Anolis sagrei: one gene and its partners. The protein of the gene in region 1 purifies or fractionates together with the protein of each later gene. This does not show direct contact. Links are inferred from orthologs where the notes say so. Each region holds a gene or a part of one and is shown on either strand. Other genes may lie near its edges.

Evidence for each region.
Region 2: the proteins of BSG (region 1) and ATP2B4 purify together in Homo sapiens (affinity purification with mass spectrometry; 3 studies listed by BioGRID and IntAct, counting the BioPlex papers as one, with this or other methods). This does not show direct contact. The link is inferred for Anolis sagrei from reciprocal best matches to the Homo sapiens genes BSG and ATP2B4.
Region 3: the proteins of BSG (region 1) and GNPAT purify together in Homo sapiens (affinity purification with mass spectrometry; 3 studies listed by BioGRID and IntAct, counting the BioPlex papers as one, with this or other methods). This does not show direct contact. The link is inferred for Anolis sagrei from reciprocal best matches to the Homo sapiens genes BSG and GNPAT.

What each region holds. Positions count from the first base shown.
Region 1 is NC_090034.1:52,358,840-52,369,511, forward strand, and holds the start of BSG (basigin), read left to right. Parts: upstream 1-5,946; 5' UTR 5,947-6,012; coding exon 6,013-6,091; intron 6,092-10,672. Other genes in the region: CDC34 (ubiquitin-conjugating enzyme E2 R1), read left to right, coding at 2,069-2,279.
Region 2 is NC_090024.1:191,986,567-191,997,207, forward strand, and holds the start of ATP2B4 (plasma membrane calcium-transporting ATPase 4), read left to right. Parts: upstream 1-5,597; 5' UTR 5,598-6,026; intron 6,027-10,641. UniProt on the Homo sapiens protein: Calcium/calmodulin-regulated and magnesium-dependent enzyme that catalyzes the hydrolysis of ATP coupled with the transport of calcium out of the cell. By regulating sperm cell calcium homeostasis, may play a role in sperm motility.
Region 3 is NC_090021.1:62,110,104-62,120,293, forward strand, and holds the start of GNPAT (dihydroxyacetone phosphate acyltransferase), read left to right. Parts: upstream 1-5,177; 5' UTR 5,178-5,258; coding exon 5,259-5,312; intron 5,313-10,190. Other genes in the region: C1H1orf131 (uncharacterized protein C1orf131 homolog), read right to left, coding at 1-287, 4,894-4,996. UniProt on the Homo sapiens protein: Dihydroxyacetonephosphate acyltransferase catalyzing the first step in the biosynthesis of plasmalogens, a subset of phospholipids that differ from other glycerolipids by having an alkyl chain attached through a vinyl ether linkage at the sn-1 position of the glycerol backbone, and which unique physical properties have an impact on various aspects of cell signaling and membrane biology.

The DNA of each region.
Region 1 (10,672 bases):
GATGAATTCCTCCCAAACTTCTCCAGTATTTTGCATTTCTCATGGGGGTTCTGTATACCAAATGTGGTCCAGGTCTATTGTCAGTGGAGGTCACAGTGGTGTGTCTTGATGTAGAGTGACCTACAACCTCTGTCATGTTGAGCCAGTTCCCCCTCCAGTATGTTCAGTTACTGATCAATTCCTCTGTTTGCTGTGCGCCATAGGAAAGAATAGGAAAGGGTTATGCGAGAGGCAGCGGGCGGGATCATGCAAATTCCACACCAGTGGAGAGAGGAACAAACACTGGAATGTCTGTGGTGGAGGAAACACATACAATCTAGGTGGAAATTGTCCCCGTATGAAAACCTTCACTTGGGTGGTGGGCAGTATGGCATTTGTGGAGGACATTGGCAGGGCTCTAGGACATGTTCACGGCACTCACTACAACTTGCAATGTCATTGGAGGGAGGGCCATTAGTGTCTCCTGAGTAGCTGTTTGAGGAGGTGGGAGCTTGTCTGTGTAAGTGGACACCCCAGCCAGATACAGATACATATTTTCACTTTTATTTTGTGTATAGATTAATCAAGTATTATTGTGTTTTAATTTATTTTGGTTAACTATTACTGAAGTTTTAGCATAGTAATTAAGGTCTATTTGTCCGTGTACCTTTGTTTTTGTCTTTCATTGTTGATATGGTCAGTGGACTCATGAAAAAAACAGATTTGAAATTTATAAAAAGGCGACTCAAGGCAGCTCACAATGAAACCAACACAATACAGTTTAAAACCTATGGTGTACAAACATGTCAAATAGAGTTAAGCATGAACAGTATTAAAAATAAGACAGTTAAAATCAATTTAAAAACTATTCATAGCTAGAACGTTCATGGGTCGATAGAGGTATGTTTTGTACGGGAGAGGAGATGGTCAACTGAGTACACCACCACCACCCTTGCCCTCCTGCATTTGACCCCGAGAAGCCAGAAGGATGCCGAAACTCTCTTGTATTAACATTGGATTCGGAGTCATTTGAACTTGAGAGTCAATCCCAATTGCAATGCCATTTCCCTTCTTTCTTCCATCTTTCTATAGTTCGTTAAGTGACTGAACCCAAAGGCTGCTCACTAATGATTCCACTTCATCCTGGAAAGAAGTGACAAGTAGAGTGCCATTAGCAGGGTTTGGTCTTGGCCCCGGTTCTGTTCAACATCTTTATTAATGACTTTGATGAAGGTTTAGGGGGCATGCTTCTCAAGTTTGCAGATTACACCAAATTAGGAGGGAGAACTAATACTCCAGAGGACAAGATCAGGATGCAAAAGGACCTCAACAAATTAGAGACCTGATTGGCCAAAATTAACAATATGAATTTTAACAAGGACAAACATAAGATACGACACTTAAGCAGAAAAATGAAATGCAAAGGCACAGAATGGGGGACTCCTGACTCAACAACAGTCCCTGTGAGAAAGATCTTAGAGTCCTTGTTGACAGGAAGTTGAACATGAGCCAAGAGTGTGATGCAGCAGCTAAGAAAGGCAAAGGGGTATAGTGTCTAGTTTGAGGGAAGTCATGGTGCCTCTCTATTCGGCTTTGGTCAGACCTATTTTCCCGGAATACTGTTCCAATTCTGGACACTATAGTTAAAAATAGATAAAGATGTTCAGAGGAGGACAACTAGAATGATGAAGGTCTGGAGACCATGAACCCCTATGAGGAACTGGGTATGTTTAACCTGCAGAAGAGAAGGTTGAGAGGAGACATGATCGCCATGCATAAATATGTGAAAGGATGGCATAAGGAAGAGGGAGCGGGCTTGTTTTCAATGGACTCAATGTAGCCATGTGTTCAAATGACAGGAAAGTGATTCCACCTGAACATGAGGCGGAACTTCCTGACTGTAAGAGCTATTGAGCAGTGGAACTCTCTGCCTCAGCATCTGGTGGAAGCTCCTTCCTTGAAAGCTTTTTAAAGTACCATCTGTCAGGAGTACTTTGATTCTGCTTTTCCTGCATAGAGGAAGGGGGTTGGACTAGATGACCCATGTGCTCTCTTCCAACTCTAGTGTTCTATTATTCTTTCCTGGCAGGAAGCAAGTGCTGGGCACAAAGGCAGAGGCCGAGCGGGATGGCGTCAAGGTCCCCACCACGCTGGCAGAATACTGCGTCAAGACCAAGACCCCGGCGCCAGACGAGGGCTCGGACCTCTTCTATGACGACTACTATGAGGACGACGAGATGGACGACGAGGTGGACAGCTGCTATGGCGACGAGGATGATTCCGGCAATGAGGAGTCTTGACAAGGAGGACCCCCTTCCTTGCCCCTTTCCTCCTTCCCCCCATTCCCTTTTGCCCCCTTCCAACGCTGCCTCCTCCTCCTGCTGCTGCTGCTCCTGATAGTAGCAATAAACTATCTGACTCTTTTACTTGAACCCAGGATGGATCCGGCTGAGGCTTTGGAACCCCTGTTTGCCCCGAATTGAAATGAGAGAGAATGAGAGAGAGAGAGAGAGAGAGAGAGAGAGAGAACTCTACCTCAAAAAGGGAGACTTGGTTTCTGCTTGAAGTGGCTGGGATGGGGAGGGAGGAATTCTTTCTTTTTTAGGGGGATAGATTGACCATTTGGCTTTTGGTTTAGCGTTTGTTTTGTGTTTTGTGCAGAGGAGGAGGAGTTAATCATAGGGATTTTTGAGAGGGATTGTTGATTCCCCAGGTGTTTCATTCTCGGTCGCATTGAGACGAAGCACCAAGACGCAGCACTGGGTGTTTTGAACGTTTTTGCTTCCATTTATTTTTTAAAAAACATTTATTACACTATAAGACTTTAATTCTGAATGAGGGGCATCTGAGCTTGCGGATGGAAAGGCACTAAGAGAACCAGAGCACCCCTCCTTCCATTAATTGGTGTTTTCCCTTTTTTTAGAAATGTGGGAATTACAGAGTCCGGTTCCTCACTCAGCCACTGGGAGGCACTGCTTGGCCGTCTTTCCACTGCATTGTCTTTTCACTTTGGGAATGTTTGCGTCCCCTTCAGAATGACAAGAAATGGAGATATTTTTTTTGCGAACATGGGGGGGGGTGCCTTTTCTTTGTAACAATCGTTTTGGGGGGTTTATTTTGCTTTTGTGGTTTTGTTCCGTGTTTCGGGGGAGTTTGGGGTTTAATTGGTTTCTCCCTCTTGGTTTTGAAGCTATTTAATAAAAAGGACTTTGAAAGGAAAGTGCCTTTTGGGGTGGCAGCCTCGCAAACAGCTTGCTTGTGAAGTCTGACTTCAAAAAGTGGTGGGAAAGTTACTTTTCTGAACGGCTTTGAAGTCCCAAAACATAGATTGGGCTGCGGAGAGCAGCCTGGTCCATGGAACGTACTTTTTGTGTTTGATATGTTCTTGATCTTCATCTCCGATGGTGTACTACAGCTATTTAACCTCAGCAGACTGAAAGCCAAAACCAAGTTCACAGTAACATCTGTTATAGAACTCCAGGATGCTGATGATAGATAGCATAGTCTGTACACATTCAGAAGAAGACCTACAAGCCATTCTAAACACCTTTGCAGAAGCATACGAGAAGCTTGGCTTCTCATTGAACATCAAGAAAACCAAAGTGCTTTTCCAGTAGTCACCAGCCAATCCCTCTGCAATGCCAGAAATACAGCTGAATGGTTTAATGTTAGAAAATGTTGACCATTTCCGCTACCTTGGCAGCCACCTCTCCACAAAAGTCAACAGTGACACTGAAATACAACACTGCCTGAGCTCTGCGATTGCAGCATTTTTCCGAAGGAAGCAGAGAGTGCTTGAGGATTGGGACACCCGTAGGGAGACCAAGGTGCTTGCTTATAAAACTTGTTGTCCTCCCAACTCTATATGCCTGTGAAACGTGGACTGTCTACAGATGTCACACTCAACTGGAACAATTCCTTCAGCATTGCCTCCGAAAAATCCTGCAAATCTCTTGGGAAGACACGCAGACAAATGTCAGCATGCTGGAAGAAGCAAAGACCACCAGCATTGAAGCGATGCTCTTACGCCATCAACTCCACTGCTGGTCACATCCGAATGTCCGATCACCGTCTCCCAAAGCGGTTACTATACTCCCAGCTTAAGAATGGAAAACAGAATGATGTTGGACAGGAAAAGAGATTGAAAGGTGGGATTAAAGCTAACCTTAAAAACTGGCATTGACACTGAAAACTGAAGCCCTGGCCCTTGAGCGCTCTGACTGGAGGTCAACTGTGACCAGCAGTGCTGTGGTATTTGAAAAGACACAAATGGAGGGTGAAAGGAAGAAATGTGCCAAGAGGAAGAAGGCATATCAAGCCAACCTTGACCAGGACTGCCTTCCACCTGGAAACCGATGCCCTCATTATGGAAGAACATGCGGGTCAAAAATAGGGCTCGACAATCACCAATGTATCCAATGCCCAGAAACTACACTTACCTTTTTATTTATTTATTTGGAGTGCTTCTACCCCGCCCTTCTCAACCCCCTAGGGGGGGACTCAGGGCGGCTTACAAAAGGCACAATTCGATGCTCAACAATTCACAAAATACAATATACAATTTACAATATAACGATGACAGTTATAACTAATTAAAACAGTCAAATTAAAACAACAAGAGCAATAAAATCATCTTGTGGTCAACGTTCATCAATTCATAAATCCATAATCCATCTAGCAATGTCATTGTCCTTTCTTACTCTGGTCGTCATTGTCTTTTATCCATCTGCCAGCTTACCCAAAGGCCACCTGGAAGGCCATCATACCCAGACAACGAAGGATCGCCTAAGTAAGTACAGCTCCTATCATCCCCAGCCTGTGTGGCCTTATGGTTGGCGTAAACTGTTCATACAGACGTATCGATACAAAGGTATAATCCCGTTCCAACTTGTAACAATTCCCTCTCTTCATAATTTTCCAGAGTAGAGATAAATTTGCTCAGGGCCAGATTAAGGTCAAAGGTGTAAAAGAGTTCCTAAAAACCAGTGGGGGCCTCAGAGGGTATCTGGTCCAACCCTGATGGAGGGCCATCCCATTCTTCTAACGGTCACAAGGAAATGGCAAGCAAATAGACTTGGCCAGGCTTTGTATTGTGAAAAATAGATATTTAAAAGTATATAAACATATAATTTGTATAATTTATAACAAATATTAATACAGAGTACAAATATTAAGGGTTGGCTTTAGCCTGCAGCTAAATTATATATTTTACAGACATATATATTATATTAATAATATGTATTATATATATATAATTATTATAATGCTATATAATATAAAATATATTATATTAAATGTATATACAGACATATATATTATAATAATAATATGTATTGTATATATATAATTATTATAATGCTATATAAAATATATAATTTAGCTGCAAGCTAAAGCTGACAATATGTATGAGTTTAAACTTTTGCAGATGAGATGATATGATAGTCTGCTTTCCTCTTCTAAAGTGGCTGCGGTCTCTTTAAGAATCTGAGTCCTCTAGTGCTATTTACATGAGTAGGTGGGGCTCGTAGTTAGCTCGCACGTTTCATTGGTTTTGGGTAACGCCAGTCGTGAGAATCGGCGCCACGATTGGCCAGTGCCCGTGCTTGACGTAGATGGCAGCGACCGCCTCTTGTGTGTGTGTACGTGACCTGGTGTAGTAGCCTGAGATGCCTTGCGGGAGTGACTTCGGTTTCCGGCCCGTCCTGCCTCCTTTAATCTTTCCTATAGGTGGCTAGCTTGTCGATCAAAGGCCCTTTGAAGCCCCGCCTCCCACCGGGCAGGCTAAAGTATCTGATTGGCTGGGGTTTTTGACGTCACCCTCTCCCCCTTCTTGCCGTCCTCAACCGTCCTTCCTCGCGTGCAATCGGATTGGCCCGCTTTCTCGGGCGGTGGAGCCAATAGCGGCGCCTCTCGGGGCTCGCGCCCGTCGGCCATTGGCTCTTCCTCGGTTTCTCCGCCTCCGGGGGGTTACCAGGCGTCCGCCATTCCTGAGGAGAGGAGCAGAGCGACGGAGCGGCAGAAGCAGCGGGAGCCATGAGGGCGATGGTGGCGAGAAGGCTGGTGCTGGCCTTGGGCGCCTGGCTCTGCTGTGCGAGCGGCGCCTCGGCCGCGGGTAAGAGGTCCAGGCAGGGAAGGAAGGAGGCGCCGAGGCGGAAGGGCTTCCATTCCTGAAGGGAAATATAAGGCTTCGAGGGGACATTTCATATTCTGAGGGGAAATTAAATATTCTGAGGGGGAAATTTCATATTCTGAGGGGGGGGGGGGAGTAATTTTCGGAGAGAAAATTTCATATCCTGCGGGGAAATTTCATATTCTGAAGGTGAAATATAATTGTCTGAGGGGAAATTTCGTACTATGAGGGGAGAATTTAAAATTCTGAGAGGAATATTTGTATTCTGTGAGGGGATTTCATCTTCTGAAGTTGAAATATAATTATCTGAGAAGAAATTTCATATCTTGAGGGGGGAAAATTATATTCTGAGAGGAACATTTCATATTAAGAAGTTGGAATATAATTTTCTGAGGGGGAATTTCATATTCTGAAGTGAAAATGTAGTAACCTGAGAAGAAATGTCATATCCTGAGGGGGAAATTTCATATTCTGAAGGGAAATTTTATATTCTGAGAGGGAAATTTCATATCCGGGGGTGGAGATTTCATATTCTGAAGGCAAGGCCTCTTTAAATTGGGTTTCAAAATCCTCAAATAAAAGGATCTTTGCTCCGATAGCAACATTTAAATAAAAGGATTTTCCCCAGATTTCCTCCATATTCACATACATATACAGGCGTTCCCTGTATTACAAACATCCGACTTACAGTTAAGAACAAGGGTGAGACAAGAAGTGAGAGAATCTACTCCTTGGAAGGGAAAGCCACTTCTGAAAGAATTATCAGGGGGAAAAGGGGTCTCCACTGAATCTTTAGCACCAATCCTTGTTTCCACGTCAAGCCAAATTATCAAAAATCCAATCATCACAGGGACGGGAAGTGGGGTGAAATCTACTGAACAAGGGCACAGACAGAAGGATAACCCCACCTGAGAAGGGATTTCATATCCTGTGGGGAAAATTCTATTCTGAGAAGGAAATTTCATATTTTGAGGGGGGAAGGCAATATTCTGAGAGGGAAATTTAATATCCTTAGGGGGAAATTTAATATTTTGTGGCAGGAATGTAATATTCTGAGAGGAAATTAAATATTTTGAGAAAAAAATAATATCTTTAGGGGGAAATTTCATATTCTGAGAGGAAAGTTCTTATTCTGAGAAAAAAATATATATCCTGAGATGGAAATTTCATATCCCGAGGGGCAATTTCATATTCTGAGTGGGGAAGGTAATACTCTGAGAAAAAATTAAATATCCTGAGAGGAAAATTCCATATTCTGAAGGTGAAATATAATTATCTGATAATCGATTTTATACCATGAGGGGAAATTTTAAAATTCTGTGAGGAATTTTTGTATTCTGAGGGGTGGAGGGGATTTCATATTCTGTAAGCGAAATATAATTATCTGAGAAGAAATTTTGTATCCTGAAGGGGAAATGTTATATACTGAGGGCTAATTTTAAATTCTGTAGGTAAATTTAAAATTCCAGGAGGAAATGTCTTATTTTGAGGGGAAATGTCATATTTTGAAAGTGAACTATAATTATCTGGGGGGAAATTTCATATCCTGAGGGGAAAAATATAATTATTTGAGAAGAGATTTCATATCCTGAGTGGGAAATTTCATATTCTGAGGGTAAATCTAAAATTCTGAGAGGAAAATTCTATTTTCTGAGGTGGAAATTTCTTATCCTGAAGGCAAAATATAATTATCTGATAATAGATTACATATCCTGAGGGGAAATTTCTTATCCACAGGCAAAATCCTGAGAGCTAATTTGAAATTTGAGGGGGATCTTCAGTCTCTGAAGTTTTCATTTCTAAGGGGAAATTCAGGAAATTCACTGTTTGGAGGGGACATTTCCTCAGGGTCTTTATGTCATTGGGAAGTGAAACGGAAGACGGATTTTTATATATATATTAAACTCGCTGGATTCGTATTACGAAGAAAGGATTCACAGAAGGGCGTCCATTTAGCAACATTTAAATAAAAGGATTTTCCCCAGATTTTACCAGGGAAGATGGGGCCTCCATATTCACATACATATACAGGCATTCCCTGTATTACAAACATTCGACTTACAGTTAAGAACAAGAGTGAGACAACAAGAAGTGAGAGAAATCTACCCCTTGGAAGGGAAATCCACTTCTGAAAGAATTATCAAGGGGAAAAGGGGTCTCCACTGAATCTTTAGCACCAATCCTTGTTTCCACGTCAAGCCAAATTACCAAAAATCCAATCATCACAGGGACGGGAAGTGAGCTGAAATTACTGAACAAGGGCACAGACAGAAAGATAACCCCACAGGGTGTTAACCCTTCCCTATGCTATCCAGAGCTAAAGGATATATATGGATATATATATATATATATAGTTAAAAATGTCCCTTTTCAGACTTGCATACAAATTCAATTTAAGAAGAAACCTACAGAACCTATCCTGTTCATAACTTGGGGACTGCCTGTATAGCATAATGCTTAATACAGCCAGCCCTCCATAGCCATGGACTTTGCACCCACAGATTCTGCTGAAGAATTTTTTCTTAAAAAAACCACACAATCATAGACTTTGGAAGAAACCCCAAGGGCCATCCAGCCCAACTCCATCCTTACATGCAGGAAGACCGAATCAAAACAGTCCTGACAGATGACCATTCAGCTTCTGCTGAAAAGCCTTCAGAGAAGTAGACTCCACCGACACCAAGAAGGCATATTCCACTGCCGAACAGTTCTTCCCATCAGGAAGTTCTTTCTAATGTTGAGGTGGAATCCCTCTTCCTGGGGAGATTCCAGTCTTGGAACTGGGAACAGGTAGCGGGAATGAGAGCACCGCTGTCCTGTGCTGTGCTTTTTGGGCAAAGTAAGTAGGGTCTTGTAACTGGAATAATGAAGGGAGTGAGGATGAGAAGGCTGCCCTATAATATGATGTGGGCTAAGCAGAGCAGTAGGAAGAGAGAGCTGTTTCATAATGAGAGGAGTGGGAGAACAACAGGATAAAACAGCCCTGCAATGCATTATGGGACAGGGATTGATCATACAGCTAAGGGGAGTCACTGTTTTACAAGCCTTAGTCATAGAATCATATAACCCTAGAGTTGGAAGAGACCCCCAAAGACATCCAGTCCACCGCCCTTCTGCCATTCAGAAACACACAACCAAAGCACTCCCAGCCGATGGCCATCCAGCCTCTGCTTCAAAACCTCGAGAGAAGGAGACTCCACTGGATTTCCAGGCAGCATATTCCACAAACGGTTCTTACTGTCAGGATGTTCTTCCTAATGTTGAGATGGAATCTCTTTTCCTATAGTTTGAAGCCATTTCTCCATTGTATCCAGCAGAAGAACAAGCCTACTCCATCCTTAATGTAATATCCTTTCAAATATTTAAACATGGCTCTCATGTCTTCTCTCAGCCTTTTTTGCTCCATATAGCTAAGCATGCTCATACTGCCTGGATTGTGATAATAAGGATCAGGCAGATACCCGAAGTATTCTTTGCTTTGAAGAATCTACAGTCTAAATATCAATCCTTTGGAGATGGAAATACAAATACATGTAAAGCATTTGTAATATTAATAATGGAAGATAAGCCCTCAGTATCATCTCTATTATAATCAGTGTGGTAAACAGAGGATTCTTGTGTTGCAGAAATCTCTTCATAGGTGGGCTGCGGGGGAGGGGGGTGGAGGCAGCAGCACATCACTTTGGCATGTGTAGAAACAGATGCATTACGCACATGCCCTTTATGTAATCCTTGTTGTGAGTGGGCCACCCTGAGAGGGAGAGGGGGACGTGCTAGATTGGCTCTGATTGCTGCAAGCCTCTCCTGGCTTGCACTCTGCTTTGTGTACTAATGAATAGCAGTTTGGTGATTTGAAAGAAAGGCAAGGCTTGCTCCGATAGGGAGGCCATGAGGGGACAGTGGGCACTCAGATTCGCCTGGGCTCTTCCTTTGGGGATCCTAGTTCTGCCCGTCATTCCTGCTACATCCTGAGTTTTGCTTCTTATGGATGCTTACATTATTTCATTGTGGACTCATGTGATGGAATCCTCCTTCATAAGAGAACCTTTGAAAAAAAAAAAGGAAGGGATGCATAGTCCCAGATTTTGGACAGAAAGAACATTGTGGGAGCAGGGGTTAAAGAGACCAGTCTTGGGGAGTTAGATTTCCCTTCAGTTGTAATAAATCTATATAAATAAAAATGTAATGTTCATTTGTGGGATAAACATAACTCAAAAACCACTAGACGAATTGACACGAAATTTGGATGCTATACCTCTAACCGGCCAACGAGTGACCATCACTCATAACCTCCCCCCAAAAAAGCGGAAAGGACTTAAAACCCCCAAAAGCTAAATGACGGAAAGCTAAATGACTATACAGAAAAAAAAGGGAAGGAAGTAAAGAGGGAGGGAAGGAAGGAGTTCAAGAAAGAAAGAAAGAAAGAGAGAAAGAGAGAAGGAAGAAAGCAGAGAAAGTAGGAGGGAAAGAAAAAGGGGGGAGGAAGGAAAGAGGTAGAGAAGGAAGGAGAGAACGAAAGAAAGGGAAGGAAGGAAGGAAAGAGGGATCAAAGGAAGGAGGGAA
Region 2 (10,641 bases), on another chromosome or scaffold:
ACTTCAAGGCAAATACATGCATTCTTAAGACAGCTTTCTTTTACAAGATGGACCATGAAGATGTTGTGAAGAAGCCAGGTATGCTCCTTCCTAAAACAATATAGAACTACAATTCCCACTTATTATTTTAAACTACCATCAAGATGGCTTTGACTTATGGTGACCCCTTGAATGAGAGACTTCCAAGTCACAACATCTCCATCTATTCAGGTCTTGCAAACTCACAGCTGTGGTGGTATCCCTCCACATAGAAAACAGACTTCCTCTATTCGTCCTGTCTTCAATCTTACCAAACATTACTGCCTTTTCTAGTGAGTCATGTCTTCACACTCTATAACAATCTCAGTTTAGTCATCTTGGCTTCTAGACAGAGTTCAAACTTGATTTGCTTTGGGGCCCTTTTATTCATCACATATTTTCTCAAACTCCAATTCAGCTCCACATTTAAAATGAATTGATTTTCTTCCTACCACACTACCATTTATTCTTTTCTTGACAATTTTCTGGTATAAAGACATATGGTGGGTGGGTGGTAGAATCAACAGAATCCCACCTCCTCCTCTTCATCTTCTCCTTCTACCTTTTCTTTAGAGCTGTGGCATTGAATAATGGCCCACAGCATCCACACAAGCTAACCTCTCCAAAGTTTCTCATGCTTCCCATTCTTTGCTAGCACCTCATTGATCAATGAAATCTTAGAATCATACAGTTGGAAGAGACCATACAGACCACTCACTTCAGCCCCTGCTATGCAGGCAAAGCACAATCAAAGCACCCCAACAGATGGCCATCCAGCTGTTGAGTGATTTCAGTTCTGCAAGTATCACAGATTCAAACGTCCACAGGTTCAGAAGTCCAGTGTGTAAAGTTCCCCAAAGGACCAAACAAAACAGAGTCAGGATGAAGACTTTATTCTCCTTTGGTCAGAAGAGTCTGTCAGTAAAGTCTGCACTCCAAAGACTGACATAACTCAGTGTAAACATACAGAAATATTTATAGCATTTGACATCGGTCAAGATTGTGACCAGCTCGTATCTGCTCCCTGATAGGACTAGGAGTGCCATCCTGCGTAATTGTTGATTGCCCCCAGGTATGAAAGAAATTTAATAAATTGTCATTGCTCAGTTTGAAGTCTTGTGTCTGTTTCTCATTCCGCCTTTCATGACAGTAGGGAGGAAATAATATGAGTGAATCAGAGGTAATGGGATTTGATGGCTCTGCTCCTGTCTGGCCAGAACAGGACAATGGGTTTTGACTGACCATACAATGAGTGCTGAGTATGTTGGCACTCTTTGAATGGGATTCCCAGGGAGGGGATCTGATCTGGCAATCGGGATGAGGAAATGTTCCCAGGAAAATACTGAGATAAAATCTGGAAAGAACCCTGTGGCTCTTTCTGAGTTCCAGGGCATTGTGAAGGGAGTAGGGTTATTCTTAATGTTGAGCCCTGCCCTGCAGTGTGGGGTGTGTATGTAGTGCTTATGCAACTATTGGTGAGTTAGGGATCCTGGTGTTTCGATAACACAGCCTCTGTTTAAAATCCTCCAAAGAAGAAGCCATCACTGGTGGAGTTTCACTGTTGAAAAGCTGCTACAGTCAGAAAGCTCTTCCTAATGTTCAGGAGGAATCTCCTTTCCTATAACTTCAACCCATTACCTGGAATCCTATGACTTCATCATATATGCTGCCGAAATTGCCACAGATCATGGTGAATCTGACATTGCCCAGCAGGGGGTATCCGTTGCCCCACAACCTGCATCACCCAACTTCCCCCCTACCTCATCCTATGGGGGGGAAGTGCTTGCCACCCAACTTCCCCGTTGATCCCAATGCAACACAAGAGCCTCCCATGTTGACACATTGGCGGCATATGCTGCTTCCTCTTCGGTGTTGTGACGGAGCCCCGCCAGAAGTGCTTCCAAGTCATGTGGTGGGATCTGACAGACTCAGTCGCAAAACTGCAGAGGAACTGGAGTATCCCACCGAAAATAGCCCCAAATTATGAGGTTGTTAGTTTCCAGGGCAGCAGAAAACGAGCCCACTCCCTCTTTCTTGTGACATCCTTTCAAATGTTCAAACATGGCTATCTTAACTCTTCTCAACCTTCTCTTCTGCAGGCTAAACATGCCAAGTTTTAAAACCACTCCTAATAGGGCATTGCTCCAGACATTTGATCATTTTAAGTGTTTTCCTCGGGACACATTCAGCTTGTCAATATCCTTCTTGAATGGTGGTGATCAGAACGGGACACAGTATTCCAGGTGAGGTCTGACTAAAGCGGAATAGAGGGACACCACAACTTCCCTTGATCTAGAGGCTTGGTTTCCAACATGGGGAACATGCCCCACAGGGGGGCAATTTGATTTTTAAAGGGAGCTATTCGAGAATGAGTTAATAACAGTGAATGTTTTGCATTGTCTAGGGGCCTTGTATAGTAAAGGTTTTCCCGACAGAAAGTCTAGTTGTGTCCCACTCTGGGTAGTGGTGCTTATCTCAATTTCTAAGCTGAAGAGCTGGCATTGTCCGTAAACACCTATGAGGTCATGCAGCCAGCCTGGAGCGCTGTTACCTTCCCATCGTAGCAGTACCTATTGATCTACTCACATCTGCATGTTTTTGAACTGTTAGATTGGCAGAAGCTGGGGCTAATAGTGGGAGCTCACACCACTCCCTGGATTTGGACCACCAGCCTTTGTCAGCAAGTTCAGCAGCTCAGTGTTTTAACCCACCGCGCCAATGGGGGCCTCATATATACACTATATAAGTATATATTGTGACATACACATTTTAAAAATGTTGTAGTGTTTTCTTCCTCAGAAGTTCAGCTGTCATTCTGTTCTTTTATTTTTCTCTTTCACGAATGTCATGTTCTTTGGAAGCTTGTTTAGACCAAGTTAATGGCCTTTTAGGCTTCCTCCGTGTGAATAGGAATTTACTTTTTGAATAAGAATTACAGTAGAGTCTCGCTTATCCAACCTTCGCGTATCCAAAGTTCTGTATTAACCAACGCAGTCTGCCACCCACAGGGATTCACAGGTGAGGAAAATGGAGTGTATGTTTACTTGTGGAATAATGACCAGGGTGGGAGAAAGAAAGAACCCTTGCCTGTTTTGGTGCTAAATTGGTCAATACGGTAATTACTACATAATGTTACTGTGTACTGAATGGCGTTTTCTGTCGATTTGTTGTAAAGCATGATGTTTTGATGTTTAATTTGTAAAATCATACAGTGGCCCCTCGCTTATTGTGGGTGTTATGTTCCAGGACCATTCACAATAAGTGTAATTCCGTGAAGTAGGGACACCACCTCCCCTTCCCTCCTCGCCCTCTTTACCTTCTTCTGCCTCCTCGTCACCATCTGGGCCTCTTATCACTGCTTGGGCCCTGCAACACCTCCGCTGCCTCCTCAATCGCAGGGCCCAAGCGGCAGCAAGAGGCCCAGGTGGGGAGGAGGAGGAGGAGGAGGAGGAAGGTAAAAAGGGCAAAGGGGCAGCTCTTCTTCCCTCCTCGCCCTCTTTACCTTCCTCTTCTTCCTTCTCATTGCTGCCTGGGCCTCTTACCACTGCTTGGGTCTCGCGACACTTCCTCAATTGCAGGGCCCAAGCGGCGGCAAGAGGCCCAGGTGGAAATGAGGAGGAGGAAGAGGAAGGTAAAGAGGGCAAGGGACCACTGTAATGTAATTTGACATTTCATAGGCTTTTCCTTAATCCCTTCTTATTATCCAACATTTTCGCTTATCCAACATTCTGCCAGCCCGTTTATGTTGGATAAGTGAGATTCTACTGTATAGGTAGTCCCCATGTTACAAACATCTGACTTACAAATGACTCATAATTAGGAATGTGGGTGAGACAAGAAGTGAGAGAAATCTCACCCTCAGAAAGGAAATTCACTTCTGAAAGAGTTATCATAGGGATATCTCTGCTGATAATTATTTATTTATTGTGTCATCAGCAACCAGACATTTGTATTACATTTTTAACAAAACAAACAAACAGACAGACAAAACACAAAGTTTGCAAGCTTGGTAGTTGATTAAATGTCCTTTGACCAGTATCTGGCCACTTGGAGTGCCTCTGGTGTTGCCGCAAGGAGGTCCTCCATTGTGCATGTTGCAGGGCTCAGGTTGCATTGCAGCAGGTGGTCAGTGGTTTGCTCCTCTCCACACTCGCATGTTGCGGATTCCACTTTGTAGCCCCATTTCTTAAGATTGGCTCTGCATCTCGTGGTGCCAGAGCGCAGTCTGTTCAGCGCCTTCCAAGTTGCCCAGTTTTCTGTGTGCCCAGGGGGAGTCTCTCATTTGGTATCAGCCACTGGTTGAGGTTCTGGGTTTGAGCCTGCCACTTTTGAACTCTCGCTTGCTGGGGTGTTCTATGCTGATGCTTTCTCACAAATCCTTGTTTCCAGAAGACAAATTTCAAAATCCAATTATCACAGGGACAGAAAGTGAGGTAACATCTTCTGAACAGGGACACAGACAGCAAAGCAAACACTACAAGGGTGTCAACACTTCTCTGTGCTATCCAAAACTTATACATAAAGTATATATATTTGGCTGGAGTTACACTTTAAAATGTACCTGTTCTGACTTACATACAAATTCAACTTAAGAACAAATTTGGGAACCACTGAATCATAGAATCATAGATTTGGAAGAGACCTCATGGGCCATCCAGTCCAACCCCCTGCCAAGAAGCAGGAAAATTGCATTCAAAGTACCCCTGACAGATGGCTATCCAGCCTCTGTTTAAAAGTCTCCAAAGGAGGAGCCTTCACCACACTCTGGGGCAGAAAGTTCCACTGCTGAACAACTCTCACAGTCAGGAAATTCTTCCTCATGTTCAGATGGAATCTCCTTTCTTGTAGTTTGAAGCCATTGTTCTGCGTCCTATTCTCCAGGGAAGCAGAAAGCAAGCTTGTTCCCTCCTCCCTATGACTTCTTCTCACATATTTATACATAGCTATCATGTCTACCCTCATCCTTCTCTTCTTCAGGGTAAACATGTCCAGCTCTTTAAGCCACTCCTCATAGAGCTTGTTCTCCAGACGCTTGATCATGTTACTCGTCCTCTTCTGGACACATTCCAGCTTGTCAATATCTTGCTTCAATGGTGGTGCCCAGAACTGGACACAGTATTCCAGGTGTGGTCTAACCAAGGCAGAATGGAGGGGTAGCATGACTTCCCTGGATCTTGACACTAGACTATTGATGCAGGCCAAAATCCCATTGGCTTTTTTTAGACACTACACTTCTTTTGATGTAAAACCCCATTGGCTTTTTTAGTTGCTGCATCCCACAACTTGTGGTCTTCTAAGCCTCCAAGAGGGTCGTTTCCCCCCTTCCCTTCCCTTCCTTTCACGTGGGTTCCCCTCGAGGCGCCGCCATCTCCTCCTTTCCCCCTTAAAAGGGAAGCCAGGCACAACCAGGAGTCGGTTGAGCGCGAAACCACCTTAACAGCCTCGCTGCCTCCCTTTTGCGAAGGACGGGGCTGAGTCTGTGGCAGGGCTTGGCTGCTGCGTTGCCATGACGAGCTTTTCCTCCAAGCAGGCGGGACTCCGCTTGGGGAAAGGCTGGGTTTGAAAAGAGAGAGAGAGAGAGAGAGGCGGGGAGGGGGACAGGCGGGGGGACCCACGGCGCTGCGGCTTCGCAGAGTTTGAAGGAAACCCAAGAGGAGCCAGCCTCTCCTTTCCTTTCTCCTCCCAAACTCGGAGCGGAGGAGAGCCGCGGTCCGAAAGCGCTGCGCTTCCTCCCAGGCGCCCTCTCCTCTGCTCTGCTCTCCCCTCCTCCTCGTCCTCCTCCTTCCCGCCCCCTTCCTCCTCCTCCTCCTCCTCCTCCTCCTCCTCCTCCTCCTCTATGGAAATCCAGGGGTTTTCCCCAGCCTGTGGCAGACTAGAGGACTGGAGGCGGAGGAAAGGCAGCGGGAGCAGCAGCAGCAGCAGCGCGTGAAGCGGCTCAGCTTCTCTTCTGGGGCCGTGAAGTTGGGCAGCGGCTGGGCGGGTCGCCCTCTTCGTCTCCCAGAGCCCAAGTAAGCCGGGGAGGCTCCCCAATCCCCCTTTTCTCTCGCTTGACTTGTGGGCTCTCCGGGTTTGGGGATGATGGGAGGGGAAGCCAGGGCGGGGAGGCTGCGGCAAAGACTCGATTCCTGTCCTGGAGGGAGGCCGGGTGGGGACGCAGGGAAGGAGGGAGGAAGGAAGGAGAGGCCCGCCTCGGGAGGGACAAACAACAGCAGCAGCAGCCAAGCCCTGCTTGGTGAACCGCCTTCGTCCCGGGCTTTCCGCTTCAGGAAAGTGTGATTTCCCCGGGCTGGGCGCGAACGAGGCGTGGAAAAATCAGGGTGTTCCCTGCGTCCGGTGCGAAATTGCCGACGAAGAGGGAATCTTGGGCGGAGGAGAAGGAAGGGGAGGGGAAAGGAAAGGAGGCGGACTCGGGCCCAAATCATGCAGTGCAGACCCACATCATGGAGTCCCTTCCACGCCGTTGTATGAGTTGTGTGGTCAGTGCAGGAGAGGCGCCCACTCTGCAGGAAACAAGTCCACACTGAGCATACAATGCGTGGTTTTTGGAGAGGCCCCTTCCTTCCCTTGTGGGGAGAAATAACCCCTCGCCCCAGACTGTGGAGTTTCTAAGCGCCCTTCCACACAGAATATCAAGGCAGGAGATCCCACAATATCTGCTTTGAGCTGGGTTATCTGAGCCTAATGTGGGATTTTCTGAGATATAGGGCTCTGTGGAAGGGCCCAATGGGGTTGGGTTGCTGTGAGTTTTCAGGGCTGTATGCCCATGTTCCAGAAGCATTCTCTCCTGACGTTTCACCTACATTTATGGCAGAGGTTGAGGGGTCTGTTGGAAACTTAAGTGAGGTTTATATATCTGTGGAATGCCCAGGGTGGGAGAAAGAACTCTTGTCTGCTTGGAGGTACGTGTGAATGTTGCACTTGGTCACCTTGCTTAGCATTGAATGGCCTGCTGTTTGAAGGCAGTTTCAACCCCTTTCGTAGAGGTTTATTTTTTCTTAGAGGAGCCCCCTCCCCCCCCGTGGAGCAAGTCCTCACCCTGGAGTTACCCCACATCGGTCTTGATCACTTCGGTCGTCCTGCTCTCATTTTTTTTCGTGTCAAGAGCGACTTGAGAAACTGCAAGTCGCTTCTGGTGCGAGAGAATTGGCCGTCTGCAAGGACGTTGCCCAAGGGATGCCCGGATGTTTTTGATGTTTTTACCATCCTAGTGGGAGGCTTCTCTCATGTCCCCGCATGAGGAGCTGGAGCTAGCAGAGGGAGCTCATCCACGCTCTCCCCGGATTAGAACCTGCGACCTGTGGGTCTTCAGTTCTGCCAGCCCAAGGGTTTAACCCATTGCACCACCTGGGCCCCTTCTCTACCTAGGGCACATTCTTCCAGGTGAGGCCTGCCCCAAAGCAGACGACGACACCCACTTTCTCTCTCTCTCTCTCTCTCTCCCGCCCGGCTATTCCCAGCACAGTCACCCGATTCTTCCTCTCCTTTGGGCAGCACAATGCCGGGTCTGTGCCTTTTGCGAGGGCAGTTTGGGGCGTGGAGTGCGAAAAGGGAGCGCCTTTTCCGGCCCGGTGTGTTTGCCCTCGTCTACACTGGAGGACGAGCGCAGTTTGGACCCTTCCCCGCTGGAGGATTTGGTACAATGTATCGTCGAAGCCTTTCATGGCTGGAATCACTGGGTTGTTGTAGGTTTTTCGGACTGTATGGCCATGTTCTAAAAGCATTCTCTCCTGACGTTTCGCCTGCATCTATGGCAGGCATCCTCAGAGGTTGTGAGGTCTTACAGACCACATAACAGACCTCACAACCTCTGAGGATGGCTGCCATAGATGCAGGCGAAACGTCAGGAGAGAATGCTTCTAGAACATGGCCATATAGCCCGAAAAACCTACAACAACCCAGGATTTGGTACAGTTTGGCCAGAGGGAGGCGTGGGCTCTCCCAACGCCTTCCTTCTGCAGCGGAGGGGCAACCCAAAGGTGTCTCTGACCCAGAATGGACCCTTCTGGACCCCACTTCTGTGGCTCGAGGTTGTGGCGTCCCCGGGGGGGGGGGGGGTTGTCCTTTTGGTGAAGCCGAGAAGGCTGAGTTTGGACTTTCTGAAACCGCGCTTCCCGTGATCCCACAGCATCGAAGTGGTGTGTCAGAATGAATGGATGTACCCCACTACAGTGCTCATATCATGCAGAATCAAAACTGCTTTCGGTAAAGGTTTTCTCCTGACATTAAGTCTAGACTCGGGGAGGGGGGGGGGGTTGGTGCTCATCTCCATTTCTAAGCCAAAGAGCCGGCGTTGTCCGTAGACACCTCCAAGGTCATGCGGCCGGCGTGACTACATGGAGTGTCGTTACTTTCCCATCAAAGTGGTACCTATTGATCTACCCACACTGGCATGTTTTCGAACTGCTAGGTCGGCAGAAGCTGGGGCTAACAGCGGGAGCTCACGCCGCTCCCTGGATTCAAACCTGAGACTTTTCGTTTATAACTGCATTATAGATCCACCCTGAGTCTCCTGTGCCACACTGACCAATGGGCTACTGGCTGGCAGCTCGACAGGTCGGGGGTGGGAGAAGGAGAGAGAGAGCTAGCTTGCTGAATGCTGCTTTGGAGGGGCGCGGCTGAAGGGCGCCGAGCCCTCGCCTTCTCTACACATTGGGATCCTCAGCATTTAGGGTGTTTTAGGGGCGGAGGAGGAGGAGGATGAAGGGGGGAAGACTTCAGAGCCTGTGGAGGAATGTGGCGCCACTGCGGAGATCGGAGGGAGGGGGAGCGGGTGGGCTTCCTCTGGGAGTCGGGCAGCCGAGGAAGGCGCCTCCCAGCCTCCCTTAGCCGCCTGGGGCGGAGCAAGGGCGAAAGGGACGGATGGGAGACCGTCTGCTTCCTCTGCCCAGGTGAACTAGAAGCCAGGAGTGATGGGTTGGGGTTTGTTTGTTTTTTTGAAAAGGGGGGGGGGGGAGAAAACCATCCTGGTCGAACTTGTTCTGCTGCCCAAATGTGCTCCTCGGTTGAGCGGAATCTCTTCCACACCCCATTCCTCCCTAGTCCTTTTTTTTTTTCTCTTTTGGTACTTGCTAATATACTGCCAGCCTAGCAGCTCAAAAACATGCAAATGCTAGATCAGTTGCTTACCACTTTGGCAAGAAGGTAACCTGCTCTCCAAGCAGTCATGCTGGCCACATGACCTTGGAGGTGTCTATGCACAACGCTTAGAAATGGAGATGAACACCAGCCCTCAGAGTCCAACATCAATGTCAAGGGAAGCCTTTGCCCTTACCTTTGAATATGCGGCCCACTCAGGAGGAGTTGCTGTTTCTCTTTCCCCTTTCCTCCCCACATAAACCGCTTAATTGCAGGAAAAGAGATTACAGATTCTAGGAGCAGTTGTCAAGGGTGGTGGTTGTGCCTTTCGCCCTCCACTGATTACGAGGCTGAGGACGTCAAAGGACCCTATAAAACAACAACAACCTTGAACGTTTGTGCTCAAAAGACAAGGAGGGGTGGGAGAGGATCTGTGACTCTGGCCTTCTGTTGTTACAGCACTGCTTCTTAAACTGGGCCCTGGCCCCAAATGGGGTCTCCCTCGTTCAGTGTTGGGCTCACTAAAAATGTTTTCGGTAAATGGGAAAGGTTTCCGAACACCACCTTGACATTTACACAAATCTTTTCAGCAACAAGGTGCAGTGTTTATAGTGGACTCTACAGAAATTGCTTCAGCTGGACTCCACAAAGAGAAAAACCAGCCTGTTTAGTAAGCCTTGCAAATGCTGGTTTATTATCAGTACATGTTTGGTTTTTATTCTTGTATTATGTATTTGAGCCCCTGGTGGTGCAACGGGTTAAACTGATGAGCTGCTGGACTTGCTGACCAAAAGGTTGGCAGTTCAAATCGGGGAGTGGGGTGAGCTCCCGCTGTTAGCCCCAGCTTCTGCCAAACTATTTATTTATTTACTGTACTTATACCCCACCCTTCTCACCCCGGGGGGTGGGGGCACTCAGGGCGGCTTACAAACTATGGCAATAATTCATTGCCAGACTCTGACAGTAACTATAAAACATTATTAAAACTGTAAAAACCCATACAAATCAATTATAAATAATCTTTCAAATGATTAAAACATATTAAAGGTCTAGCACCAACTGAGCTTTATAAATATTAAACCGATTGCTTCATCATTATACAAATTTCATCATACTTATGGGTCATATTAATCCCCAAAGGCTTGCTTGAATAGCCAGGTCTTAAGTTTTTTTCCCTTAAGCTTAAGAGTGAGGGGGCTGTTTTGATGTCACTGGGGAGGGAGTTCCACAGCCGTAGGGCCACCACTGAGAAGGCCCTGTCTCTCGTGCCCCCATCTGCAATGGAGGCAGAACTGAGAGCAGCTGTCCCCAGAAGATCTTAACAGTCACACCGAATCATAAAGGGAGATATGTTTGAATCTAGCAGTTCAAAAAATGCAAATGTGAGTAGATCAATAGATACCGCTTCGACAGGAAGGTAATGGCGCTCCATGCAGTCATGCCGGCCACATGACCTTGGAGGCATCTATGGACAACGCTGGTTCTTCAGCTTCAAAATGGAGATGAGCACCACCCCCCAGAATCTGACGCATCTGGACTTAATGTCAA
Region 3 (10,190 bases), on another chromosome or scaffold:
CACCACTTCAATATCTGAAGCATTTTCCTGCTGAGCAGGTTTCTGTGTGGTCGTATTTGGGGATCTACATTCTGTTGCATTGTTGTTCTTATTAATAAAGTCAGATACCCATTCATTTTTCAGTTCTTCAAAGAAGTCATTTTTCCTTTTGTTTGATACTGCTGTGCCAGACTCAAGAGTCACCCTTTTGTCTTCTGATTGATTATTGTTGGAAGTCATTGCGAATTTCTCTTGTGAGTTTTTCTTTTTTCTCTTATTCTTTTTATTTCCATTTAGCAACGATTCACCTAGAATTTGAGATAAAATTGTTGTAAATCTCATTTAACTCAGCCATATAATTGGAAGGATTCCTGATGGGGTGTGCTTCTGTCTGTCAGCTCCAGCTTCCCATGAGGGGACATGAGAAAAGCTTCCCACAGGACGATAACACATCTGGGCATCCCCTGGGCAACGTCTCTGCAGACAGCCAAATCTCACATCAGAAGCGACTTGAGTTTCCATATTGATAAAGGATTTTTGAAATACAATAGCAGCCATCCATGTCACATAACAAACCAGGAGATATAAACATGTTTTAAAACTGTCTAGCAGGCCTTTGGATTCTAACTACTCATAGATAACAACACCTGGGAAAGATGCAAAGAAAGGTGGCATGGCCAAAGAATCAGATGTGGGTGGCTATGAATAGGAATTATGGATAGAAACTATGCATAGGAGTCAGGAACTGATTACAGAGATGTATATCATATAACAGAAGCCATGTCCAGATGCAATGAATAGATTGAAAGGTTAATTTGATAAAGGAAGAGTACTGAAAACCCACAGTTCAGGTAGATGAGATCACTTCTCTTTCAAGTACAAAGACAAGGAGATATGATGCTGAGATAAGCCATGGATGCGTGGGGTTCAATATTACTGCTGTTAATAAATACCAAGCAAACAGGAAATAGATACTGTATCTTACTTTAGAGCTGTGTTACTAACTGTTGCGACTTACAGAGAGTGGTCAACCCTCCTGTTTAAGGAGCTCCACTGGCTGCCATTCATTTTCTGGTCCCAATTCAAGGTGCAGGTTCTTACCTACAAAGCCCTGAACGGTTTGGGACCCGCCTACCTGCGTGACCGCATTTCTGTGTACGAACCCACACGATCTCTTCGATCATCTGGAGAGGCCCTGCTCATGCTCCCACCTCCTTCGCAGGCGCAATTGGTGGGGACGAGGGAGAGGGCCTTCTCAGTGGTGGCCCCCCGACTCTGGAACCCACTTCCCAGGGACATTAGACATGTGCCAATGTTGGCAGTCTTTAGGAGGAGCCTGAAAATGTGGTTGTTCCAGTGTGCCTTCCCAGAATAAGGAGAACTCTCAGCAATATGTCCTAATATGCACTTTAATACTGACATAGGATGGACTGTACTCCCTCATTTCTCTCCGAAAAATCCTATCCTTGTTATATTTTACCTTGTTCACATCAGCATATTTTCAATTTTAATCTATTACATTTGGCCCAGCCATTTTTAAAATTGTTTATGTCACTATTGATTTTTTTTGTTTATGTGATTTATATGATTGATGTTGTGCTTATTGATGTTTTGTTTGATGTACTTTGGGCTTGGCCTCATGTAAGCCGCACCGAGTGCCTTGGGGAGATGGTAGCGGGGTACAAATAAATATTATTATTATTGTTATTATTATTACAAGGGCAGATTGTATCAACCTACATTTTAGGAATTTTATAATTTTCAAAATTTTAAAAATGTATTGAGATTTTTATGCAGTTATTATACTTGTCATTGTATTTATACTTATGTACTGTTGTCTGCATGTGGCACTTGGAGTGCTTCTGTGAGCCACTCTGAGTCCCTTTGGGGAGATGGTGGCGGGGTACAAATAAAGATTATTATTATTATTATTATTATTATTATTATTATTATTACCACCTCTGGTCAGATTCCAAACCATTTGATCTAGGTCAATCCTTCAATCTTATTAATAGGAGTGAATAATAGTGTAGTGTAGACATATCCAACCACTGTTTTAACCAATAACAGAAACAGGATTCACAGCCTTAGTAGAACTGAATTGAAAGAGCCAAATCCTTTCTCACCACCATCATCAACAGATCTCTGATTGGGTCATGGAAGCTGGAAGAGACTAACACTGCATATTATCACAAACAAATAGACCAGAGCTTTCCAAACCTGCCATGATGATGACACACTTCTTAGGCATGGCTCATTTCACAGCAATCATTCGGTTTTACTAGCAAACTGGAGGTTAAACCAATCCCTTATAAGAAATAAGTGCACATACATACACTGTAACAACAAAATGTATAGGGATACAACATTACTTATGAAAACTTTTCATTTATATGTTTTTAAAATTAAGATATTTTTGTTAAGCCTACATTTCTAAGATGTTGTGTCATGTCTCGTCACATTTGTGTGACACACCTACACACTGCAGCCAACACACTAGCATGTCGTAATACATGGGTTGGAAGGCTCTGAGACAGACACTGTGGCTAAGGGCTGTTCCTAGCACTGTCCTGCTAGAGGAAGAAGCACAAAAAACCATTAACGTGAAGCACTGAAAGACCACCTGGAACTGTTGTAAAATGTTTGCTCTCTGCTTTTTAGCCAAAAGCATCAGGCATCACACCAAAAATCAGATTGAGAGTGCATCTACACTGTAGAATTAATGCAGATTGACACCACTTCAACTGTCATGGTTCAATGTTATGGAATCCTGGGAGCTGTTGTTTTACAAGGTCATAGAATCACAGAATAATAGAGTTGGAAGAGACCTCCTGAACCATCCAGCCCACCCCTGCGGAGAACAGGAAAATCACATTCAAAGCACACCTGACAGATGGCCATCCAGCCTCTGTTTAAAAGCCTCCAAAGAAGGAGCCTCCATCACACTCCAGGGCAGAGAGTTCCACTGCTGAACGGCTCTCTCTGTCAAGAAGTTCTTCCTAATGTTCAGGTGGAATCTTCTTTCCTACGGCCATTTTACACAGCCCTATATCCCAGAATATCAAGGCAGAAAATCCCACAATATCTGCTTTGAACTGGGTTATCTAAGTCCACACTCTGATAATGTGGGATTTTCTGCCTTGATATTCTGGGATATAGGGCTGTGGAAGGGCCCCTAGTCTCCAGGGCAGCAGAAAACAAGCTTGCTCCCTTCTCCCCGACTTCCCCTCACATATTTAGACAGGGCCATCACTTCTCTCAGCTTTCTTTTCTGAAGGCTAAATATGCCCAGCTTTTTAAGCCATGCCTCATAGGGCTTGTTCTCCAGACCCTTGATCATTTTAGTTGCCCTCCAGCTTACCAACATCTCCCTTCAATTATGGTGCCCAAAATTGGACACAGCATTCCATTTGTGATCTGACCAAGGCAGACCAAGGTTGTCCCATGATGGCACCTCACGCTATGCTACAACTCCCAGGATCCCATAGTGTTAAGGCAGGGCAGTAATCCGCATGGATTCAATGCTTTGGAATGAATTTTTTTTTCATGTCAGGAGCGACTTGACAAGTTGCTTCTGGTGTGAGAGAATTGGCCCTCTTCAAGGACGTTGCCTAGGGAACGCTTGGAGGTTGTGATGTTTTACCATCCTTGTGAAAGGTTTCTCTCATGTCCCTTCATGGAGAGCCGGAGCTGACATAGGGAGTTCATCCGCACTCTCTCTAGATTTGAACCTCTGACCTGTCGGTCCTAAGTCCTGCCAGAACAAGGATTTAACCCATTGCGCCACTGGGGGCTTGATTTGGAATGATGGGATCTGTAGTTTGTTGAGGTACCAGCACTCTTGGGCTGAAAAGGCTAAAAGATCTTGTAAAACTACAACTCCCAGGCAGTTTCTGGAGTTAGGTGAGCTTAAGCACAGGGCCTCGTAGGGATGCCAAAGTGCTTGTTTATAAAGCTATTGTCCTCCCAGCCCTGCTATATGCCTGCGAAATGTGGACTGTCTACAGGCGTCACATGTAACTCCTGGTACGATTCCATCAGTGGTGCTTCCGGAAAATCCTGCAAATCTCTTGGGAAGGCAAGCAGACAAATGCCAGCAAACTGGAAGAAGCAAAGACCACCAGCATTGAAGCGATGGTCCACCGCCATCAACTCTGCTGGACTGGCCACGTTGTCCGGATGCCTGACCACCTTCTCCCTAAGCAGTTGCTCTACTCCGAATTCAAGAACGGAAAACGGAATGTTGGTGGACAGGAAAAGAGATTTAAAGATGGGCTCAAAGCCGACCTTAAAAACTCTGGCATAGACACTGAGAACTGAGAAGCCCTGGCCTTTGAGCGCTCCAGCTGGAGGTCAGCTGTGACCAGCAGTGCTGCAGAATTTGAAGAGTCACGAATGGAGGGTGAAAGAGAAAAACGTGCCAAGAGAAAGGCGCAAACGAGACCGCCTTCCATGTGGAAACCAATACCCTCACTGTGGGAGAAGATGCAGGTCAAGAATAGGCCTCCACAGTCACCTACGGATCCACAAGAATACTGATCCTGAAAGACTATCCTACTCATCCAACGAGGGATCGCCTAAGTAAAGTAAGTTGATAGCAAACATGGGCAAACTTTGGCCCTCTGGGTGTTTTGGATTTTAACTACCGGCTGTTAGGAATTGTGGGAGTTGAAATCCAAAACACCCAGAGGGCCAAAGTTTGCCGGTGCCTGGTCAATACTCTAGGTAGGAGAGTGTGCCACAAAGCAGGCGGTGTAGGCCTAACAGGCCTTCCTCCTTCTGGGCCCAAGGAAGGGCCTTCAGGACTGAAGTGTCATGGGGCCTGCTTGGTCCTCAACCTGGGATTCCACAGCACTGCATTGACAGGACAGGTTCAATCCCAGGCATCAGAAAGAGGCGGAGGCCGAGACGCACCGAAGTCGTAGAGGGAGTCCAAGGCGCCGCGGAGGAGGCGGGCGGCGGAGGCGGAAGGCTCCTGCTCGCCCTCCTCTGTCTCCTCTACTGTTCTTCTGGCCATGCTGCTCTTCGCTCCACCAACGTGAGGGCGGAAAGACAACACCAGACGGAGGAGGAAGGGGAAGAAGCGTCAAGGCGAAGGATTTTGGTCCCGCGCGACCACCGTCGCAGCGAACATGGCGGCGCCCACAGAGCACTTCCGCTTTTCTTCCCCTACTGACTGAGGGACTGCCTCCCTCTCTTCTTCCTCCTTCCCTCCGGGCTGGGCTCGAAGGCCGCCGCCGAGGGAGCCGCGTAGGGAGGACTGCTGAGCAGGCGCGGAGATGGCGGCGGCGGCCGGGGCGGTTGCCCGACGACGGGGGCCGCCCGTGTACTCGGTAGGGGCCTTTTCTTTCCGCCCAAATCCAGGGCCCGAGCGGGAGGGAGGGGAGAAGGCGGGGGAGGGCGAGTGCGCGGACCCTCTCTCTCTGTGGAGGCAGGCGCCGCTTTCCACTGTGGCTTCACACCACAGCAGGGATCTCCAGCACATTTTTAGCCTTGCCTTGGGTTCTCCTTGGGTACAGAGGGACAACTACGATTTTTGTACACAGTGGTCCGTCCTCTTTAATTTTTACCCGGAGATGTTATTAAATACAACTCCCACCACTTTTGATTACTATCTGGGGATAATGGGAACTGCAACCATAGAATCATAGAGTTGGAAGACACCTCGTGGGTCATCCAGTCCAACCCCCTGCCAGGGAAATCGCATTCAAAGCACCCCCGACAGATGACCATCTAGCCTCTGTTTAAAGCAGGAAAATCGCATTCAAAGCACCCCCTTCCTGCCTCTGTTTAAAAGCCTTCAAAGAAGGAGCCTCCACCACACTCCAGGGCAGAGAGTTCCACTGCTGAACAGCTCTCACAGTCAGGAGATGGAATCTCGTTCCCTATAGTTTGAAGCTTTGCGTCCTGGGTTTCCAGGGCAGCAGAAAAGAAGCTTGTTCCCTCTTCCCTATGATTTCCCCTCACATGGCCAGTCAGGAAGAACTTCCTAACTGTGAGAGCCGTTCAGCAGTGGAACTCTCTGCCCCGGAGTGTGGTGGAGGCTCCTTTGGAAGCTGTTAAACAGAGGCTGGATGGCCATCTGTCAGGGGTGATTTGAATGCAATATTCCTGCTTCTTGGCAGGGGGTTGGACTGGATGGCCCATGAGGTCTCTTCCAACTCTTTGATTCTATGATTCTATGTCTCCTCTCAACCTCCTCTTCTGCAGGCTAAACATGCCAAGCTCTTTAAACCGCTCCTCATACGGCTTGTTCTCCAGACCCTTGATAGAATCATAGAATCATAAAGTTGGAAGAGACCTTATGGGCCATCCAGTCCAACCCCCTGCCAGAAAGCAGGAAAATCGCATTCAAAGCACCCCCTACAGATGGCCATCCAGTCTCTGTTTAAAAGCCTCCAAAGAAGGAGACTTCACCACAATCCAGGGCAGAGAGTTCCACTGCTGAACGACTCTCATAGTCAGGAAGTTCTTCCTCATGTTCAGATGGAATCTCCATCCCTATAGTTTGAAGCCATTGCTCTGCGTCCTGGGTTTCCAGGGCAGCAGAAAACAAGCTTGTTCCCTCCTCCCTATGATTTCCCCTCACATGGCCATCATGTCTCCTCTCAACCTCCTCTTCTGCAGGCTAAACATGCCAAGCACTTTAAATCGCTCCTCATACGGCTTGTTCTCCAGACCCTTGATAGAATCATAGAATCATAAAGTTGGAAGAGACCTTATGGGCCATCCAGTCCAACTCCCTGCCAAGAAGCAGAAATATTGCATTCAAAGCACCCCTGACAGATGGCCACCCAGCCTCTGTTTAAAACCTTCCAAAGAAGGAGCCTCCACCACACTCCAGGGCAGAGAGTTCCACTGCTGAATGGCTCTCACAGTCAGGAAGTTTTTCCTCATGTTCAGATGGAATCTCCTTTCTTGTAGTTTGAAGCCATTGTTTCGCGTCCAAGTCTCCAGGGAAGCAGAAAACAAGCTTGTTCCCTCCTCCCTGTGACTTCCTCTCACATATTTATACCTGGCTATCATATCTACTGTCAGCCTTCTCTTCTTCAGGCTAAACATGCCCAGCTCCTTAAGCCGCTCCTCATAGGGCTTGTTCTCCAGACCCTTGATCCTTTTAGTCGCTCTCCTCTGGACACATTCCAGCTTGTCAATATCTCTCTTCAATTGTGGTGCCCAAATTTGGACACAGTATTCTAGGTGTGGTCTAACCAAGGCAGAATAGAGGGGTAGCATTACTTCCCTAGATCTAGACACTATGCTCCTATTGATGCAGGCCAAAATCCCATTGGCTTTTTTTTGCTGCCGCATCACATTGTTGGCTCATGTTTAACTTGCTGTCCACGAGGACTCCAAGATCTTTTTCACATGTACTACTCTTGAGCCAGGCATTTTCCCCATTCTGTATCTTTGCATTTCGTTTTTTCTGCCTAAGTGGAGTCTCTTGCATTTGTCCCTGTTGAACTTCATTTTGTTAGTTTCGGCCCATCTCTCTAATCTGTCAAGATCGTTTTGAATCCTGCTCCTGTCCTCTGGAGTATTGGCTATCCCTCCCAATTTGGTGTTGTCTGCAAACTTGATGATCATGCCTTCTAACGCTTCATCTAAATCATTAATAAAGATGTTGAACAGGACCGGGCCCATTTTAGTTGCCCTCCTCTGGACACATTCCATCTTGTCAATGTCTTCTTTCAATTGCAGTATCCAGAATTAGACACAGTGGGATTCCAGGTGTGGTCTGACCAAGGCAGAACAGAGGGGTAGCATGACTTCCCTGGACACTAGACTCCTATTTATGCAGACCAAAATCCCATTGGTTATTTTAGCTGCCACATGACATTGTTGGCTCATGTTTAACTTGTTGCCCATGAGGACTCCCAAGATCTTTTTCACATGTACTGCTGTGAAAAAGATATTGTGGTCCTCACTTCTATACTGTATAACTGAACCCAACTGCACCTGTGGATCTGAAGTTAAGGAAAAGTTAAAGGACTTTTTTAAAGTTAGGTATAATATCCATAGGACAAAGAAAAAATAATGGATCAATTAAGAAACAAAATTAAGTATTTGGGAGTCACAATACCTGTTAATTACTTAGAGTTAAAAAATAAATTTTGATAGACTAGTTAGGAAAATCTAAAAAAGACTATTGGAATACAAAAAAAAATCTCTCATAGTTTGGCAGAATAGGCATTTTTAAAATGAAAATATTATCTAAATTTAACTTATTTTGTAATATGTTACCCATTAAATTGCCACATGTTGATCTTAAAAAAATGGCAGAAATTAGTCAGTGGATTTTGTAATGGAAGTAGAAGATCTAGGCTATTGAGAGGCTTATGGTATATTTCTCAGAAATTAAGGGGACTAGGAATACCAGAATTTAAAACTTACCATCAGACACATATAATAATTCTACAAATGTATACATAGTGGCTTGTAAAACAATTAAAATAATCATAATAAAAATATAAAACAATTAAGAATAACATAAAATGGTATAAAAACAAACATCAGTTTTAAACGTTTTTTTCATGAGGATCAAGTGAAGGTTGCAGTTCCTCAGGGGAAGAGCAAGGCCCTTGCACTCTCGCCTGCCAGCTGTTAGAAGCTATTATTTAATCTCTTGATTGAGATGCAAAGTGGCTAACAGTGTTACAAGTGCAGTTTAAAATCCGCATTATACATATATTAGAATCATAGACTAATAGAGTTGGAAAAGACCGCATGGCCATCTAGTCCAATCCTCTGCCATGCAGGAAAAGCACAATCAAAGCACCCCTGACAGATAACTTTCCAGTCTCTGTTTAAAAGCCTCCAAGGAAGGATTTTTCACCTCACTCCGAGGCAGAGTTCCACTGTTGAACAGCTTGTTAAAATAGAATTGAATTAGTCAGCTAAAGTTCCTCCAAATACCAGTCTCTGTTCAAAGACAGGTGTAGTGCATGTGTTAGTCATTGGGTGCCAAACATGCTTCTTGGGCTGTGGTCTTGCCATGTGTGGACAATACATGTTGAGCATCATTTATCTAAAATACGTGGGAGCAGAAGGTGTTTGGGATTTTGGATTTTTTTTCTTCAGATTTTGGAATACCTGTTTTTGAGATATCTTGGAGTTGAGAGCCAAGTGTGAATACAGAATTAATTTATGTTTCACTTCCTTATGCATCAAGGTAATTTTTATGCACAACATTTTAAATTATTTTATGCATGAAACTGTGTGTTCACTGAACAATTAAAAAGCACTCTGCCATCCATATTAACAATTTTAGAGTACTTTTGGATTCCACGTAAGGGATGCTCAACCTGTAGTTGAATGGAAGACAGACAGGGGAGAGAAGGCATTGTAAAAGTTATTTTTCAGAGGAAGACAATAGTACTTCGCCTCTTAAATTTGCTACATTAAAAAAAAATCTGAAATTCATGTCATAGATCGAGAAGCATCTTGAAGACACGTGTACACACACTTTAAATATGTATTTATAGTTTGAACTCCCAGACCCATTTGTTTGGCATTCAGCAACCATTTTAGGATTGTATACCACTATTTGAACATTCTCTATATATCTCCAAGAAAGCCTTTCTGTTAATAATGCCACCATCTAAGGCATGTCTGGTAGGGTGAGACTGGGACTTCTTTGTAGCAGATTTGTGCCCTTCCATTAACAGACTTTTTTTTCAAATCCATTTGGGACACTGTATGGCTACCCAAGAAGGCGACTTTAGGAGGTTTGCAATGTGGGGAAACATAGTGAGATCACTGCTTTTGTTTTGGGTGGAACCGTTTTCTTTCTTTCAGGGTATGTTGCAAATGTTATCCAAGAAGCAAATGGTCTTCCCTATCCACTTGCAATCCTGGTATTGCTACAGACAATCATTAGAACAGTGTTTTCTTGGAATTCTACACTGCTCTGCTGACATTTGCATTTATATGTTCTTGTTACAATATTGCAAATACTTAGTTTACATTTTAAAAACTTCCAAACTTCTGTTTCTTGGAAGGATAGGAGGTGCTTTCTATGTGCTCCTGTATGATATTTACGATTGATAGGCATCCTAACATACAATCATACTGTCTGCCACACCACTGAAATGATGAAAATAAGAGCACTATGTTTTCACAATATAGTAAGACCTTTGCTAAGGAAGTTCTCCCTGAATCCTATTGCATTGGCTAATTTCTGGCCAATATCCATTCTTGGACAGGTGCTA